4 linked regions of the Saccharomyces cerevisiae S288C genome follow. The gene in region 1 interacts genetically with each later gene. Each region holds a gene or a part of one and is shown on either strand. Other genes may lie near its edges. The genes, in order: APQ12, CHM7, TCP1 and GET4.

Region 1 (3,637 bases):
CTCTGAATGGCATTAAGCCGTTTACACGTCAATGAAAGCAACAGGTTGATTGTCTTGATCGTCAGCATGTACTCCTCCTTCTTGGTCAGCGGCGGCCTGTATTGCAGGAAATACTCGTAGTTTAGGGGCGCAATTGGTTTACTAGCGTAGTCCTGTATCAGCAGCTCAATGTTCGACCTAATCTTGTAATGCTGGTCGAACGACAGTTGCGACAGCAGCTCGTGTGAGGGTCGCTGGCGATGTGCCCAGCGCATTCCCCCACATTTCCATGAACGCATAATCTTCCACATACTACCGTGAAGGCGTCTTGATACCACGTCTTCCAGTTATGGTCTTGACTCACCAATGTTCTCAGTTTAATGTTGTTTGCTTCATACTGGCAGACATTTTCCCTTATTACCGTGAGAAGCGAGCGGTGGATTAATCGGGATGTCAAAAACAAGAAAATTGCAACCTTCTTCACCTATAACCTATATGATTTGTAGGCAGAGGAGTGGAATAAGCAACAAATCATAGTCATCAATGTCGTTTAATGCCTTCGCCAGCTCTTTGAGCAAGAAATTACAGGAAATATCCACAAGTGTTTCCGAAAAAACCCAGGAATTGCCCAGTTTGGCGCAATCCACCCAAAGAATGGTCCAGGAACGTTTGGGCCAGGTGACGGACATCTCCCAATTGCCAAGAGAGTACACAGAGCTGGAAGATAAGGTTGACACCATCAAACTGATTTACAACCACTTCTTGGGTGTAACTGCTATCTACGAAAACGGATCGTACGATTACCCTAAATACATCAACGAATCCGTCAACGAGTTTTCAAGAAGCGTGGCTTCCAAGTTGACAGAGTTGACTCATGCTACATCTGCGTCTGAGGCACAAAACATCTTAGTTGCTCCAGGCCCCATCAAAGAACCCAAGACGTTGAACTACGCCCTCAGTAAAGTGGCTTTGAACTCCAGTGAATGTTTGAACAAGATGTTCCCCACCGAGGAACAACCCTTGGCTTCGGCACTCTTGCAATTCAGTGATGTGCAGGCTAAGATTGCTCAAGCTAGAATTCAACAAGATACCTTGATTCAAACCAAATTCAATAAAAATTTGAGGGAAAGGCTCTCTTTTGAGATCGGTAAGGCCGATAAGTGCCGCAAGGATGTCCATTCCATGAGATTAAGATATGACGTGGCAAGAACTAACTTGGCAAACAACAAGAAGCCAGAAAAGGAAGCTTCCTTGAGAGTCCAAATGGAGACTTTGGAAGACCAGTTTGCTCAAGTCACTGAAGACGCTACTGTGTGCTTGCAGGAGGTTATTTCTCACGCTAACTTCAGTGAAGATTTGAAGGAATTGGCCAAGGCTCAAGCTGAGTATTTTGAAACCTCGGCTGGCCTAATGAAAGAGTTCCTATCCAACTCATTTGCGGAAGAGCCGGAAGCAAAGCCTGAGGTTGCAGAAGAAGAAAAGCCACAGACAGCTATCTCTATGAATGACGAAGACGACGCTTAATAGCCGCCCTGTTCTTGTCTTTCTCTCTCCTTCTCTATATATATATATTTACTTAATACAATATCATATTCTCTAGTGTCGTACGAATATTATCATTTATTTGCTGGCTTTTGTAGTGAGTATATTTTTTGTAGAGAAAATATAATTACTGGAAGAGAAAAAGCTACTGAAAAAAATTTCGTAACAGTCACCAAAGGGCAAAGTGAGCAACCCAAAAATGGACGCTACTCAACCGCAATACGAACTATCCGTAGTAACACAATGCCTAAAGTCTGCCATTGACGTCATCCAATGGTTGATTCCTACTATTACTAAGTTCAGCCAATCACACCCGTTAGTTTTCCAACTATTGTTTATTTTCTTCACATTTTATGTCTTTTACAAGTTGTTGATGAACTTCATTACTCTGGTCAAAAGATTCCTGTATTTGACGTTGGTAGTAACATGTATCGGTATTTATATGCGTGGTTCGCAGCAGTTTTTGACTGTGGACCTGTTGAATTTCTACAATTTCGTCATGTCAAATAGATACTACGCATTTAAAATTTATACTCTGTTTATTAATGCCCTGGAAAGAGAAATCAACACTGTTTATCATTTGGCGCAGATGAAAATGGAACAGTTGCTTAAATAGAGCGAAACGCCTCTGCTTACTCGGAACATCTTAAAGTAATTACATATCTTAATTTCTAAATATTCATATAGATAAAGAACGTTTTTTTTGCTAGATTCCTCCCCTAGTCACTATCAAATATTGAGCTATTTTTGGTGACTTGTGTTTTCCAAATTATTCATTACAATTGTGACTTGATTTCTGAAGTTTTAAGAAAAATTGCAAACTAAGTTATTACAAGCGATTTATCCGGTCGCGATTGAAGAACTGAAAACAACAGCAGCAGCATTGTACCAAGAATCCCAAGATGCTCAGGTGTGCGGTCAAGAAGTTTGCATATTTTGCCACCTTCCTCACTATCGTCGCTAATATTTACATCTATACTTATCCATCTTTCCATCCAGAACAGTGTTCATGGAACTGCTCTAACAAGAACGCACCACTACAGAAAGATTTGACTTTTGTGGACAAAGTGAAGAATTACTTCAGTGATGTTCGAGAGCAATGGCATGGTAGCCATGCCTCTGCAGGTAACGATGAGGATATTCATATTTTGGCCTTCGGTGATCCTCAGATTAAAGGCATCTGGCCAAAGACGCCATATGTGTCCCGATTAGATACATACGGTAATGACTACTATCTTGGTCACATCTATGATATGATGCAGCAGAGACTGAAGCCTCAGGTGGTGACTGTTATGGGTGATCTTTTCTCCAGTCAATGGATCGGTGATTCCGAATTCCATAATAGAACGAAAAGGTATATTAGCAGAATTTTCAAAAGAGACCCAACTTCTATTGAAAATATCAAACAACAGAACCTCGATGAGAAAGGTCAATATAAGGCGAATTGGCCTGAATGGGGAGACCGTTTTAATGAGATTTTAGACAATGTCAAGGAAAACGAGGCTGATAATCAAGAACTTTCTTTTGGGTTTGGTTATGAAAATATCCACTCATGGAATCCAGACTTGGAAGACTTTTTAATCATCAACATCACAGGTAATCATGATGTAGGTTACTCAGGCGACGCGACTTATCAACATATGACAAGGTTCCACGACCTTTTCGGTAAGGACAACTATTGGATTGAATACGAAACCAACACTACCCATCCTTGGAGAATTGTAGTGTTGAATGATCTTTTACTAGAAGGTCCCGCTTTACAACCAGAATTTGTTGAAGCTACTTGGATCTTTTTAAACCAACTAAATGAACGTAAATTCAATGGTAGTACTGTTTTGTTGACGCATGTTCCATTTTACAAGCGTGAAGGGTTATGCGTTGATGGCCCAGACACTAGGTATTATCCAGATGCCCATGCCCCAGAATCATATAAATCTGGGCTTTTGAGATCCCAAAATCATTTGAGTGAATCCGTTTCAAATCAAGTTTTGAATATGATATTTGAAAATGGGAAGCCAGGTATCATATTAACTGGTCATGACCATGAGGGCTGTGAAACAGTTTATAATAAAAAATCTACATCTACTTGGGAAGCGACTAAAAATATCGAAAGTGA
Region 2 (4,704 bases), on another chromosome or scaffold:
GGTATTGTTATTATGATGATTGATGAAAAAATGGAACCTCAAGTTGCTAAAGGAATGGTTAAGGGCCAAGCAGATAGGCTAGACTCGGCTTTTCACTTAGGATATAATATGATTTTGAACTTAATGAGAGTTGAAGGTATCTCTCCGGAGTTTATGTTGGAGCATTCTTTCTTCCAATTTCAAAACGTTATTTCAGTACCAGTTATGGAAAAGAAACTTGCTGAACTGAAAAAAGACTTTGATGGCATCGAAGTCGAAGATGAAGAAAATGTTAAAGAATACCATGAGATTGAGCAGGCTATCAAAGGTTACCGTGAAGATGTTCGTCAAGTTGTCACCCATCCGGCAAACGCCTTAAGTTTCCTACAACCAGGCAGATTAGTTGAAATCTCTGTCAATGGTAAGGATAACTATGGCTGGGGTGCTGTTGTCGATTTTGCTAAAAGAATTAACAAACGCAACCCAAGTGCTGTCTATACAGACCATGAATCCTATATTGTCAATGTGGTCGTCAATACCATGTATATAGACTCTCCAGTCAACTTGTTGAAACCTTTCAACCCTACCTTACCAGAAGGGATTCGCCCAGCGGAAGAAGGTGAAAAAAGCATATGTGCTGTTATTCCCATAACTTTGGATTCAATCAAGTCGATTGGTAATTTGAGACTATATATGCCCAAAGATATTAGAGCCAGCGGTCAAAAAGAAACTGTTGGGAAGTCTTTAAGGGAGGTTAATCGGAGGTTCCCGGATGGTATTCCCGTGCTGGATCCTGTTAAAAACATGAAGATCGAAGATGAGGACTTTTTAAAGCTAATGAAGAAGATTGACGTTTTAAACACAAAGTTATCCTCCAATCCCTTAACCAATTCCATGAGACTAGAAGAACTATATGGTAAATATAGTAGAAAACACGATTTACATGAAGATATGAAACAATTGAAACGCAAAATTTCAGAATCACAAGCCGTAATCCAACTGGACGATCTTCGTCGCCGTAAAAGAGTTTTGCGCCGTTTAGGATTTTGTACTCCTAATGACATTATTGAACTGAAAGGTAGAGTTGCATGTGAAATATCTAGTGGTGATGAACTGTTACTAACAGAATTGATCTTCAATGGTAATTTCAATGAGTTGAAACCGGAACAAGCAGCAGCATTATTATCATGCTTTGCATTCCAAGAACGCTGTAAAGAAGCGCCTAGATTGAAACCAGAGCTTGCCGAACCTTTGAAGGCTATGAGAGAAATTGCAGCAAAGATCGCTAAGATAATGAAGGATTCTAAAATTGAAGTTGTAGAAAAGGACTACGTTGAAAGCTTCAGACATGAACTAATGGAAGTTGTTTACGAATGGTGTAGAGGAGCTACTTTTACGCAAATCTGTAAAATGACCGACGTTTACGAAGGTTCGTTGATCAGAATGTTCAAGAGATTAGAGGAATTGGTGAAGGAGCTGGTAGACGTCGCCAATACCATTGGTAACTCTTCACTTAAGGAGAAGATGGAAGCTGTCTTGAAATTAATTCATAGAGATATCGTATCTGCTGGTTCTTTGTATTTATAGTTAATCACACACAATTATGTATTTTTATTGGTATATATAATAAACAAATAGATTTCATCAACATTTATTATATAATAACATTTTTGTTTGGGCAAGCACACTATTGATACACCCATACAACTCAATGAAGTGCAGCGTTAGTAGAGACAATAAGAGGAGTTTTAAATTCTTAAACTATATCTGGCAAAACACCACCAAAGCCAGCCAAATAGTATCTCACTGTATCTGAATGAAAGTAGATTTACCAGAATCCAGACTACCATCTTTATATAGAGATTTTAGGCCATTGAAAGATTTAAATCCCGATGGGTACGAAGCAAACATCAGTACATGGAGGGATTTCTTCTTGCAACAATACATCAGCAACTCCAACAGAATCATATTTACTATAGGGACAAGGACTTTGCAAGAATTAACTCATGAAGTTTATGGCGTACCGAAAAGCATTGATATAGCAATTGACGTTCTTGTTAATGAAGGAAATTTGATACCTATGGAATTATTCAATCTTGGTGGAATGTACACTGACAACAGTAGAAAAGGATTTTGGAAGTGGGTTAGAAGTTGGAAGGAGTCTACAAACATGTATAAAAGCCGGAAGGATGAAACAAATTTCTACTTGAGAGAAGACAAATTTATTATCAAAGCAAATTTGGAAAAAGAGTATCAAAGGTTTCATGAATTACTCAAAAGAAGTGTTTTTATGGAGGCTTCATCTATTACAGATTTAGTATTCACAAGGAATGAATTTGTGACCACAGAAAGTTTGCAGTCGTTCTTTTCAACCTATGATGAAGAAACGAAAAACGTGTTCCTGCACTTTATAGAGAATTATAAGCACATAATAGTTTCAAAAGACAATGTTATCAAAGTCATTGCCGCTGAAGTAGAAGACATTACTAGCAGGTTCTCCAAAGGCATCACAGAAAATGACCTTCGAATTGCTAGTGTTAAAGTGGGTATTATAAACATCAACAAACAAATTACAAGGCTAAGAAAAGAAATTAATGAATCTAACATTAAACTGAGAGGACCAGAGTTTAATGAGCTGCCGAAGAGAATAAGGATTGAATATAAACAGGCGAGATTACTATCTGAAAAACATCTTTCTAGGTTACTAAAGTTTCAAAATAACCTCGCTCAAGTAAGAACTCAAATAGACACCAGTGCTACTAATGCGGTTTTAATTCAAACTTTAAGTGAATCCAACGAAGTAATTAAGTCAATTAATGGATATATTGGTTCTACCGAAAAAGTAGAAGACTTACTAGATGAGATTAAAGAGGGTCATGACCGTACCGAAGAGGTCAATGATTTATTAGCTCATTATAATAAAGGTCAAGACGAAGAAGCAGAAGAAGAAATTGAAAGAGAATTAGAACAATTAGAACTTGATGAAAAGAATAATAATAAGGAAGAAAATAAGAACCAGGATTTGCACGAGCCAAAAGAAAGCAGTAGCGAGGATCTATTAAAGAGATTGAATAATCTGAAGATAAATACAAATGAAGGACCTGTGCAAGATAATGAAAACCACGATAATGAGATAAGAAAAATCATGATGGAAGAACAACCACGTTGACGAACTGAGTGACTAATAAATAAATATATATGTATAAATAAAAAATAAATATGAATATTTTAATAGACGGAAGAAAGAAAATATGTGTGAATAACCAAATAGGAAATAAACAAAAGCACATTTAATTGTTGCCGTTATTATTAGAGTAACCTAATGTACGAACTTTGGTATTAGATGCAGAATTATTGGAAGACAAGTTTAGTTCAGACACGTTTTGTCGCAATTGAGAAGTACCATTAGAAGGATACATCCTTGGGGTAGTATATGCTGAAGGAGTCATTGAATCACCACCACCTCCTCCTCCCCCGTCCGACACCATGTCTAAGCTAGATAATTTTTGTAAAGAGTAGTTGGCGCTGTTTGACACATTTGTGCCCAACCTCTGGTAACCAAGACGGGAGGAGGAAGCATCTACTTCCGGTTCTTTCGCCCAAAAAGATGTCAAACCTGAGTAAACCTTGTGTAGAAGAGAAGATTGTTCCATGTAGTCGAATGTTTTGTTATTGGCTTCCAGCGGTTCTAAGATGAGAGTCGATCTGGGCAACAGATCCAACTCTTGCAAACTTTTGAGTTCGTCATTTCGCGTAAGAGTCACTCTTGGTATATTTCTGTGGAAAAGGTAAGGTGTTCCATCATCGTAGCAATTATAGTCTAACCACATCCTTACTTTGTGTAATTTTGTTTGAGGAGGGAAAGTATTAGAGATTGTGTAACCATTGGGCAGTTTCAATTGTAGAGTACAGTAGTTCTGGGCGAGAAACCCCTTTTGACTCTTGTAACTAACATTATCAGTAACTGTCAACTGCTTCCACTTCTGTGGCTTTCTTTGCGGGTCATTAGTATTTTGAAAAACATACTTCCTCTCCAACTTGTCGTTCTGAATCATTCTTTTGACTCTTTGATATTCTTCATTGCTCTTGGAAAATAACTTCCTCTTTGTTACTTGACCCTTAAAGACTGATTGTAACCCATTGATAAAGGTTTCCCAAGGATCCTGCTCACGAGAAAGGCTATTACCTTGGATAGAACATTCGAGTAGACCGTTCTGTAATATGTTAATGCTTGGCGCCGATGAGGAGGGGAAAATGCTCTTGAAAAGCAAGCACTCTTTAGTACCATTTACTAACCTTACCCACAGTATGTTTTCGCGCTCCTCGTCACTAAGATTTCCTGGTTTGAACCACTGATGAAGCCAAGAATTGTCCCCGGCTGCTGAACTAATGTAAACGACGATAACCTGCTCACTAGTATGAGAGTAATCATGAACAACTCGATCATGAAAGAGGCTGTCTATACCTGACATCTCGTACATTTCTGTTATTCAATACCTGTAATTCACTTCCTTTGAGGGTCAAAAATGTCCCCTGTAAGCAAGTGTATAAGTATATAATTATATATATGTGCATATATATGTCCCTATACAACTACTAACGAATCTTAAAAGTTGACTATTCATGTGGAAAAAGTCCCTCTTCTAGGGTTGACGCGCTAGAGGTAAATCCATTAAGGTTCCTCCTGGCTTCGTTAACTCCGAAAAGAATAGCATGTGCAAGATG
Region 3 (4,788 bases), on another chromosome or scaffold:
GCTCTAGAGAGAAGACTTCCATTCAGATTGACCCAGAATTGTTGGATAATGTCGATGAATTTGTCATAAGGAATGACCTCATCGATTGTAGAATTGACATTTGTACATCTCATGTACCTTTGATATTTCAAGAAAATTTTGACTACCAATCATTAAGGACAGACTTTGTTAAAGGTGTCATTTCAAGCGATATATTGGGAAAGCATATATATGCCTATTTGACGGACGAATATGCTGTAAGAGTTGAAAGTTGGCAAACTTACGACACCATTTCTCAAGACTTTTTAGGTAGATGGTGTTATCCCTTGGTCTTAGACTCTAACATACAGGACGATCAAACGTATTCTTATGAATCAAGACATATATACAAGGAAAAAGACGTTGTTTTGGCCCAATCCTGTAAAATTGGTAAGTGCACTGCAATTGGATCAGGAACAAAAATCGGAGAGGGTACGAAAATTGAGAATTCCGTGATTGGAAGGAACTGCCAAATCGGTGAAAATATTAGAATCAAGAACAGTTTCATTTGGGATGACTGTATCATCGGAAATAACAGTATAATTGACCATTCATTAATTGCCTCTAATGCCACGTTAGGGAGTAATGTACGCCTAAATGATGGCTGTATAATTGGTTTCAACGTTAAAATTGATGATAATATGGATTTAGATAGAAACACAAAAATATCTGCCAGTCCATTAAAAAATGCCGGCTCAAGAATGTATGATAATGAAAGCAATGAGCAGTTTGACCAAGACCTTGATGATCAGACACTAGCCGTTTCTATTGTTGGAGATAAGGGTGTTGGTTATATTTACGAAAGCGAGGTGTCTGACGATGAAGATAGTTCTACAGAAGCCTGCAAAGAAATAAACACTTTGAGTAACCAATTAGATGAGTTATACTTAAGTGACGATTCAATTTCTTCCGCCACTAAAAAGACAAAGAAAAGAAGAACGATGTCTGTCAATAGTATATACACGGATAGAGAAGAAATTGATTCTGAATTTGAGGACGAAGATTTTGAGAAAGAAGGTATTGCCACCGTGGAGCGTGCTATGGAAAACAATCATGATCTTGACACAGCATTATTAGAATTGAACACCTTGAGAATGAGTATGAACGTGACATATCATGAGGTGAGAATAGCAACAATAACTGCATTATTGAGAAGAGTTTACCACTTTATTGCAACTCAAACATTAGGTCCCAAGGACGCTGTGGTGAAGGTTTTTAATCAGTGGGGACTGTTGTTCAAGAGACAAGCCTTTGATGAAGAAGAGTATATTGATTTGATGAACATCATAATGGAAAAAATTGTAGAACAGAGTTTTGACAAACCGGATTTGATTCTATTTAGTGCATTGGTTTCTCTATACGATAATGACATAATTGAGGAGGATGTCATTTATAAATGGTGGGATAATGTTTCTACTGACCCTCGCTATGATGAAGTCAAGAAATTAACTGTAAAGTGGGTTGAGTGGTTACAGAATGCTGACGAAGAATCTTCCTCAGAAGAGGAATAAAAGTCCACGCAGTACCCTGCATAATCATGTATTACCATAAAAAGGCTTTAATATGAGAAAAAGGTGAGCGCTATATAGATTTAGTAATTTACATGTTACAGAAGCAAAAAGCAAATATATATATATTTTTTATCATATTAGTTTTTATCCTCAGTAGTACTACTGAAATAATAATCTCAGATTTTTTTTTTTCACTTGCCGAGGGACCTTGTCCTAAGTGGCAAAGAACTGAAAAAAAAAAAAATTGAAATGCGGTGGTATCACATGAAGAGTAAATAACTTAAGCAAAAGAGAGGCCACTGAGAGAGTACAAGAAAGGGACAATAACAATAGACAGAAGACTTTTATATTTGTAATAACTTAGCGATGTCCCAATTATTCAATAACTCGCGCTCAGATACCCTTTTCCTAGGAGGTGAAAAAATAAGTGGTGATGATATTCGTAATCAGAATGTTTTGGCTACTATGGCTGTGGCTAACGTCGTCAAGTCATCTTTAGGCCCCGTTGGACTGGACAAAATGCTTGTTGATGACATTGGTGATTTTACCGTCACCAACGATGGTGCCACTATTTTGTCTTTGTTAGATGTTCAACATCCAGCTGGAAAAATTTTAGTAGAATTGGCTCAACAACAGGACAGAGAAATTGGTGACGGTACTACTAGTGTTGTTATTATTGCTTCTGAGTTGTTGAAAAGAGCTAATGAATTAGTCAAAAATAAGATTCATCCAACTACCATCATAACTGGTTTCAGGGTTGCATTAAGAGAGGCTATTCGTTTTATAAATGAAGTTCTTTCCACAAGTGTTGACACTTTAGGGAAAGAGACGTTAATTAATATAGCCAAGACTAGTATGTCCTCTAAGATCATTGGTGCTGACTCTGATTTTTTCAGCAATATGGTTGTAGATGCTCTTTTGGCTGTTAAGACGCAAAATTCCAAAGGAGAAATCAAGTATCCCGTAAAGGCTGTCAATGTGTTGAAAGCTCATGGTAAATCTGCCACTGAATCACTGTTGGTGCCAGGTTATGCTTTGAATTGTACAGTTGCTTCTCAAGCAATGCCTAAACGTATCGCCGGTGGCAATGTGAAAATCGCATGTTTGGATTTGAACTTGCAGAAAGCTCGTATGGCAATGGGTGTTCAAATCAACATTGATGATCCGGAACAATTGGAGCAAATCCGTAAACGTGAAGCTGGTATTGTTTTGGAAAGAGTGAAGAAGATCATTGATGCTGGTGCTCAAGTTGTGTTAACCACCAAAGGTATTGATGATTTATGCTTAAAGGAGTTCGTTGAAGCTAAGATAATGGGTGTAAGACGCTGTAAGAAGGAAGATTTGAGAAGAATTGCACGCGCTACAGGCGCCACTTTGGTTAGTTCTATGTCTAACTTAGAAGGTGAGGAAACTTTCGAAAGCAGTTATTTAGGTCTTTGTGATGAAGTAGTTCAAGCCAAATTTTCTGATGATGAGTGTATCTTAATTAAGGGTACTTCTAAACATTCATCTTCTTCGATCATTTTAAGAGGTGCCAACGATTATTCTTTAGATGAGATGGAACGTTCTTTGCACGATTCTCTTTCTGTTGTCAAAAGAACGCTTGAAAGTGGAAATGTTGTCCCCGGTGGAGGTTGCGTTGAAGCCGCATTGAATATCTATTTGGACAATTTTGCCACCACAGTTGGTTCTCGTGAACAGTTAGCTATTGCTGAGTTTGCAGCTGCATTATTAATCATTCCAAAAACTTTAGCTGTTAACGCTGCCAAGGATTCTAGTGAATTAGTTGCAAAATTAAGGTCCTACCATGCCGCTAGTCAAATGGCCAAGCCAGAGGACGTTAAGAGGAGAAGCTACAGAAATTACGGCCTAGATTTGATTAGAGGTAAAATTGTGGACGAGATTCACGCTGGTGTTCTTGAGCCAACCATAAGCAAAGTCAAATCCTTGAAATCAGCATTGGAGGCTTGTGTAGCAATTCTAAGAATTGATACAATGATTACAGTGGATCCAGAACCACCCAAAGAAGATCCGCACGATCATTGATTCTTTGCGTAATCCGAACGAGATTCTGTATCTGCATGTAAACTAATAAACCTATATAAAATTTAATTATATTTTTTTCAGCTAGTTCTATTTTTGAATTTGATCGCTAACTCTGGGCAGTTGATAAGCGCTTCCCAGCTTTTCACGTGCGAGGTGGACTAATACGTAATAACGCGTACCTATTAGGACTTCGTTGAGTTGTTTTTCTTGTCCAAATGCAGAAGCGGGTCCCTACAAACTATTGTGTTTGTTCGTAAACGAGCAGGAACCCTGTTAAAGGAAAAAAGCTTAACGCTAGCGTTACATTTTAGTAAGGCGGCAATAAAAAAGAATGCGGAGTGTATTCCATGAATTCAATTGCGCTTACTGCTAAGCCTGTTTCTAAACATGATCCCCAGGGTGAATATCTCCCATAGTGGCTGTGTTATTCTGTCTAAATGTGGCAGCTAAATAAGGTTTTTTCCAAGCTATTTTTTTCTCTAAACGAGCGCACCTTAGCGGGATCGCGTCAAATTTTCGCCCAACGAATATTATTCTATTGTCTTCAGTGAATGTGCTTGTCGAAATCTATATATGCGCCGCCCTGGCAGGATCAGCAAATACAAGTTACTTGGAAAGTCGCGGCATAGAAAGTAGACACTTCTTTTGTCAAAGATTGATATTGCTTTCAGGGTGCGATAGTGCTGACTGTTCCTCTAAACAGCGATTTTTTACATACATTAACTTTTTGAAGTTGTAGGAACTATCTTTTCTCATTTATCCAACACTAAAACAAAATTGAGCTTTCCAGAAATAGTGAATCAAAAAAAGTTAAGTACAAATATTTACAGTTCAGCAGTATGAGCGAAGTCGGTATACAGAATCACAAGAAAGCGGTGACAAAACCCAGAAGAAGAGAAAAAGTCATCGAGCTAATTGAAGTGGACGGCAAAAAGGTGAGTACGACTTCAACCGGTAAACGTAAATTCCATAACAAATCAAAGAATGGGTGCGATAACTGTAAAAGAAGAAGAGTTAAGTGTGATGAAGGGAAGCCAGCCTGTAGGAAGTGCACAAATATGAAGTTGGAATGTCAGTATACACCAATCCATTTAAGGAAAGGTAGAGGAGCAACAGTAGTGAAGTATGTCACGAGAAAGGCAGACGGTAGCGTGGAGTCTGATTCATCGGTAGATTTACCTCCTACGATCAAGAAGGAGCAGACACCGTTCAA
Region 4 (4,009 bases), on another chromosome or scaffold:
ATACGCAGATATATTGTCTTTGATAGTAGATTCAAAATCGTTCATTATATCATCCCAAACCTTTTTGGATGGATGTGATAGTAAATGAATCACATGATCCTTTAATTCGGGAACCAGATTTTTTTTAATACGACCGATTTTTGCTTTCAATTCAGCATCACGTAGTTGCTTGATTCTTTCTTCAATATCGTCGGAAAATTTGCAGGTAATCTCTTCGTTTGATATTAGTAGCCCTAACTTTTTGAAGGTCTCCATTGATTCGTTAAATTCTTTCTCAATCTTACTCTTACCTGCCGCCACACTTTCTACAAAAGAGGTAGTAGCTTTGTCTCTAGAAGACACCTCCAATTTTAAATCGTCCCATAACTTTTCCATTAATGATTCCAAGAACTCATTAATTGTACCTGAAATATGTGAATTCAGCTTTGTATTTAAAGCTTCTCGTTTCTCCATATAAACGTTTCTTGCATAGCGCGATGCTTGTTCATCATATTTTGTCAGACATTCTTCTTTTAGCTTCACTAGCTGAGATGTTAAAGATCCCAAGTTACCCTTTAAAGGAGCAATCGATTCATCATATTTTGAAATGAACTCTTCTAGAGCTTCATTAGATATTTCTTCAGTTTTAAATCTAGCAACCAGAATTTGCTGAGTTGGAAGATCTAAATCCTTGTTACGTTCAATTTGATCCCAACAATTTTCTGCGTACATAGTCCAACCATCTAATGGCAACCTATGGTGATATTGAGGTTTGAAATAATAGTTTTCCGTACCTTTCATCACAAACGAATCACCTAATTTCTTGACATCCTGGGTAAATTTGTCTTCTTGCAACAACTTATGAGCTAGCCCGACAAACTTTAAATCGAAATAATCATACAGGCTAGAACCCTCACAACCAGCAGGTTTACTTAACTCTGTCCATATTTTTTCCAATTCTCTCGTAACGGAATCACTCAAACTCGAGAGTGGAGTCACACCTACATGATCTCTAATTACAAAAAGTAACAGCACCTTGTGGTCATTATCATTCTTGCCAAATAGGGAAAGGTTGACCTCAAAAACTGTTTTTAATAAAGCCATATTATTACCTTGATATAGCCCAATTTGCTGCTCCCACATATTAACTATAAGAACTTCAGATACTGCAATGGCAAATAAAGCGGCTTTTCTCTCAAAATCTTGGTCTTCACCTCTTTCTGAACCATCGGAGCCCTCAACATCTAGCACAAAAATATCTGGACGATCATTATCGATTTCAATAGTTGTATTAACCTGTTTAGTGTGAGCCAACCAAATGCCTTTAGTAGTCTGCTGCCTTTTCACCTGAGCATCCATGGTATCAAAGTTGGTGTTAAACAAGACGTTAAGTAAAGTCGATTTACCACTCGATTGAGAACCGAAAACTGAGATGACATGGTAATCTAGACCAACATCACGATTTCCAATACATTGTTGAAAATATTGTAATGCACTTTGATGAAATTCCTTCTCTTCATCTATCAACTGAATAGCAGGTCTATCAGCCATGACTAAAGTATGTCAACCGTCGAGTGAGTTAGTAGCCCGTTTGTTGAAATAAGTCAATAATTATTTACCATCAAAATACACCTTTCAGTATTTTGTTCGTTTTGTCGCTCTTCGTTAAGGTAACAAACAATGGGAAAAAAAGTGAAAGGAAAGTCAAAAAAATGAAATAATAACATGTGCGGTAAAACAACCAAGTAAACATCATAAAGGGACATAAATAATAATAACAAGCTATGGTTCCTGCTGAATCTAATGCTGTACAAGCGAAACTCGCTAAAACCTTACAAAGATTCGAAAATAAGATCAAAGCTGGAGATTATTACGAAGCGCATCAAACGTTGAGAACTATTGCTAATAGATATGTTAGAAGTAAATCATACGAGCATGCCATAGAACTAATTAGTCAAGGGGCCCTTTCATTTTTAAAGGCGAAGCAGGGCGGTTCAGGCACGGATTTGATCTTCTATCTTTTAGAAGTTTATGATTTAGCGGAAGTTAAAGTTGATGACATCTCAGTTGCTAGATTGGTTAGATTAATAGCCGAATTGGATCCTAGCGAGCCCAATTTAAAGGACGTTATTACTGGTATGAACAATTGGTCTATCAAATTTAGTGAATACAAATTTGGAGATCCTTACTTGCACAACACCATTGGTAGCAAACTATTAGAGGGAGATTTCGTTTATGAAGCTGAGAGATATTTTATGTTAGGTACACATGATTCAATGATCAAATATGTCGATTTACTATGGGACTGGTTATGCCAAGTTGATGATATCGAAGATAGCACGGTGGCTGAGTTCTTCAGCAGATTGGTTTTCAACTATTTATTCATCTCTAACATATCATTTGCACATGAATCAAAAGACATTTTTTTGGAAAGATTTATTGAGAAATTTCACCCCAAGTACGAGAAAATTGATAAAAATGGTTATGAAATAGTTTTTTTTGAAGATTATTCCGACCTAAATTTTTTGCAATTGTTGCTAATTACCTGTCAGACTAAGGATAAGAGCTATTTCTTGAATTTAAAGAACCATTATTTAGATTTTTCTCAAGCTTACAAAAGTGAGTTAGAATTTTTGGGCCAGGAATATTTCAATATTGTTGCTCCTAAACAAACGAATTTCCTACAAGACATGATGTCGGGATTCCTGGGCGGATCGAAGTGAAAAGAGCATATTTGCGAAGGAATAGATAAATATGTTTGCGGTGGCTTGACGACCATGACGTATATACATATATATGTATGTGCTAGCTATTTGTCGTCTTTAATGATAGCAGACCTATTAAGGGCCTCCAACAATTCAGGCCTCTTGGCGTCTATCAAGTTTTGTTTAGCTTCTGTATAAGAGTATAGCTTTCTATGTCTTTTGTGACATTCCGGAAATTTATCAAGGAGATTTTCAATCTCTAATTCATAAAAATGAAATTCGGTTCTTGGCGGGTGCTTTGCTACTTCTGAATCTTTTCGAGAGTTCTCGAATTGCTTAATGTCTTTGTTCCAGTCCTTAGGGGGTCTCATGTCTTCAACTGTACCCAAATTGGCGACAATTTTACCTATGCAACCAGCTTCCTCCCAAGTTTCTCGTTGGGCAGTCGTCTCGTAATTAGGCTCGTCTTTCTCAACGCCACCTTTGGGGACAATCCATCTTTTCTTGTGTGCAGAAGAAGTAATCATGAGAACTTGCTTCTTGTCGGGTGTTAAACATATGCAGCCAGCAACTAATCTTGCACCTGTAACGGGTGAGTAAACCTGGTTTTCTCTTCCTTCACGTGCTGTCTCAGAACGTACTGGACCATGATTATCCGCGGTTTTGCCCATTTTGTGTTTCCCCACGCTCTTATACTCCTACGTACTCACTGTTCCTGACCTTTCAGGCGTTATTTCAGTGTGATTTCATGTCTTAAAGTTGAGGCTTCCCTTTACACTATTTACCTCCGCGAGACGTTTGAGAATTAAGCCGCACGTGCTCGCCGCAGATGTTCTTTCAACGACAAGAGAACACCATGCTCCTACTATTTACGCATTATTTACACAGTATACCTTTCTGATGATGAAGTTTGAAGGTTTAAATTCTGGGCAGTAGCTGTTTTTACGGTTGTCTCAATATTTCTCATTCTGCTTTATAATCACGGGAGTATGACAGCATTACCAATCTCTATCAAGATGAAGAAAGATGAGCATGATCGTTTTAAGCTCACATGGAAGCTGTAGTTATTACCAGTATATCCTCTTTATATATAGCGAATGTAGATTTCTGCCAGTATCATACTGGCAGAAATCATAGTGAACGGAGTTAAATCCGCGGAAATTAGAAAAACGTTAAAAGGTTCCATGCCATATTACTAATGGGGTAGAGGCTGATATACGGGGAAAAGGATAACAATACCAAGACATTTATAGTATTCCACATCACTAGACGTATGTAATAGACAACTTCCCCTTGGAATTACCAAAACGCCAAAAATTCGGAAT

What was found.
Region 2: mutations in APQ12 (region 1) and CHM7 impair growth when combined (synthetic growth defect), as found in Saccharomyces cerevisiae (6 studies listed by BioGRID, with this or other methods).
Region 3: mutations in APQ12 (region 1) and TCP1 together harm fitness more than expected from each alone (negative genetic interaction), as found in Saccharomyces cerevisiae (3 studies listed by BioGRID, with this or other methods).
Region 4: mutations in APQ12 (region 1) and GET4 together harm fitness more than expected from each alone (negative genetic interaction), as found in Saccharomyces cerevisiae (3 studies listed by BioGRID).

What each region holds. Positions count from the first base shown.
Region 1 is NC_001141.2:276,003-279,639, forward strand, and holds APQ12 (Apq12p), read left to right. Parts: upstream 1-1,720; coding exon 1,721-2,137; downstream 2,138-3,637. Other genes in the region: protein kinase PKP1, read right to left, coding at 1-290; GVP36 (Gvp36p), read left to right, coding at 523-1,503; TED1 (Ted1p), read left to right, coding at 2,424-3,637. UniProt on the Saccharomyces cerevisiae protein: Involved in the regulation of lipid homeostasis in the endoplasmic reticulum, thereby impacting nuclear pore complex biogenesis and localization, and nucleocytoplasmic mRNA transport.
Region 2 is NC_001142.9:344,178-348,881, forward strand, and holds CHM7 (phosphatidic acid-binding protein CHM7), read left to right. Parts: upstream 1-1,795; coding exon 1,796-3,148; downstream 3,149-4,704. Other genes in the region: ATP-dependent RNA helicase MTR4, read left to right, coding at 1-1,566; UBX6 (Ubx6p), read right to left, coding at 3,270-4,460.
Region 3 is NC_001136.10:885,337-890,124, forward strand, and holds TCP1 (chaperonin-containing T-complex alpha subunit TCP1), read left to right. Parts: upstream 1-1,895; coding exon 1,896-3,575; downstream 3,576-4,788. Other genes in the region: GCD6 (translation initiation factor eIF2B catalytic subunit epsilon), read left to right, coding at 1-1,529; UPC2 (Upc2p), read left to right, coding at 4,415-4,788. UniProt on the Saccharomyces cerevisiae protein: Molecular chaperone; assists the folding of proteins upon ATP hydrolysis. Known to play a role, in vitro, in the folding of actin and tubulin. In yeast may play a role in mitotic spindle formation.
Region 4 is NC_001147.6:642,087-646,095, reverse strand, and holds GET4 (protein GET4), read left to right. Parts: upstream 1-1,763; coding exon 1,764-2,702; downstream 2,703-4,009. Other genes in the region: dynamin-like GTPase SEY1, read right to left, coding at 1-1,530; polyphosphatase DDP1, read right to left, coding at 2,789-3,355. UniProt on the Saccharomyces cerevisiae protein: May play a role in insertion of tail-anchored proteins into the endoplasmic reticulum membrane.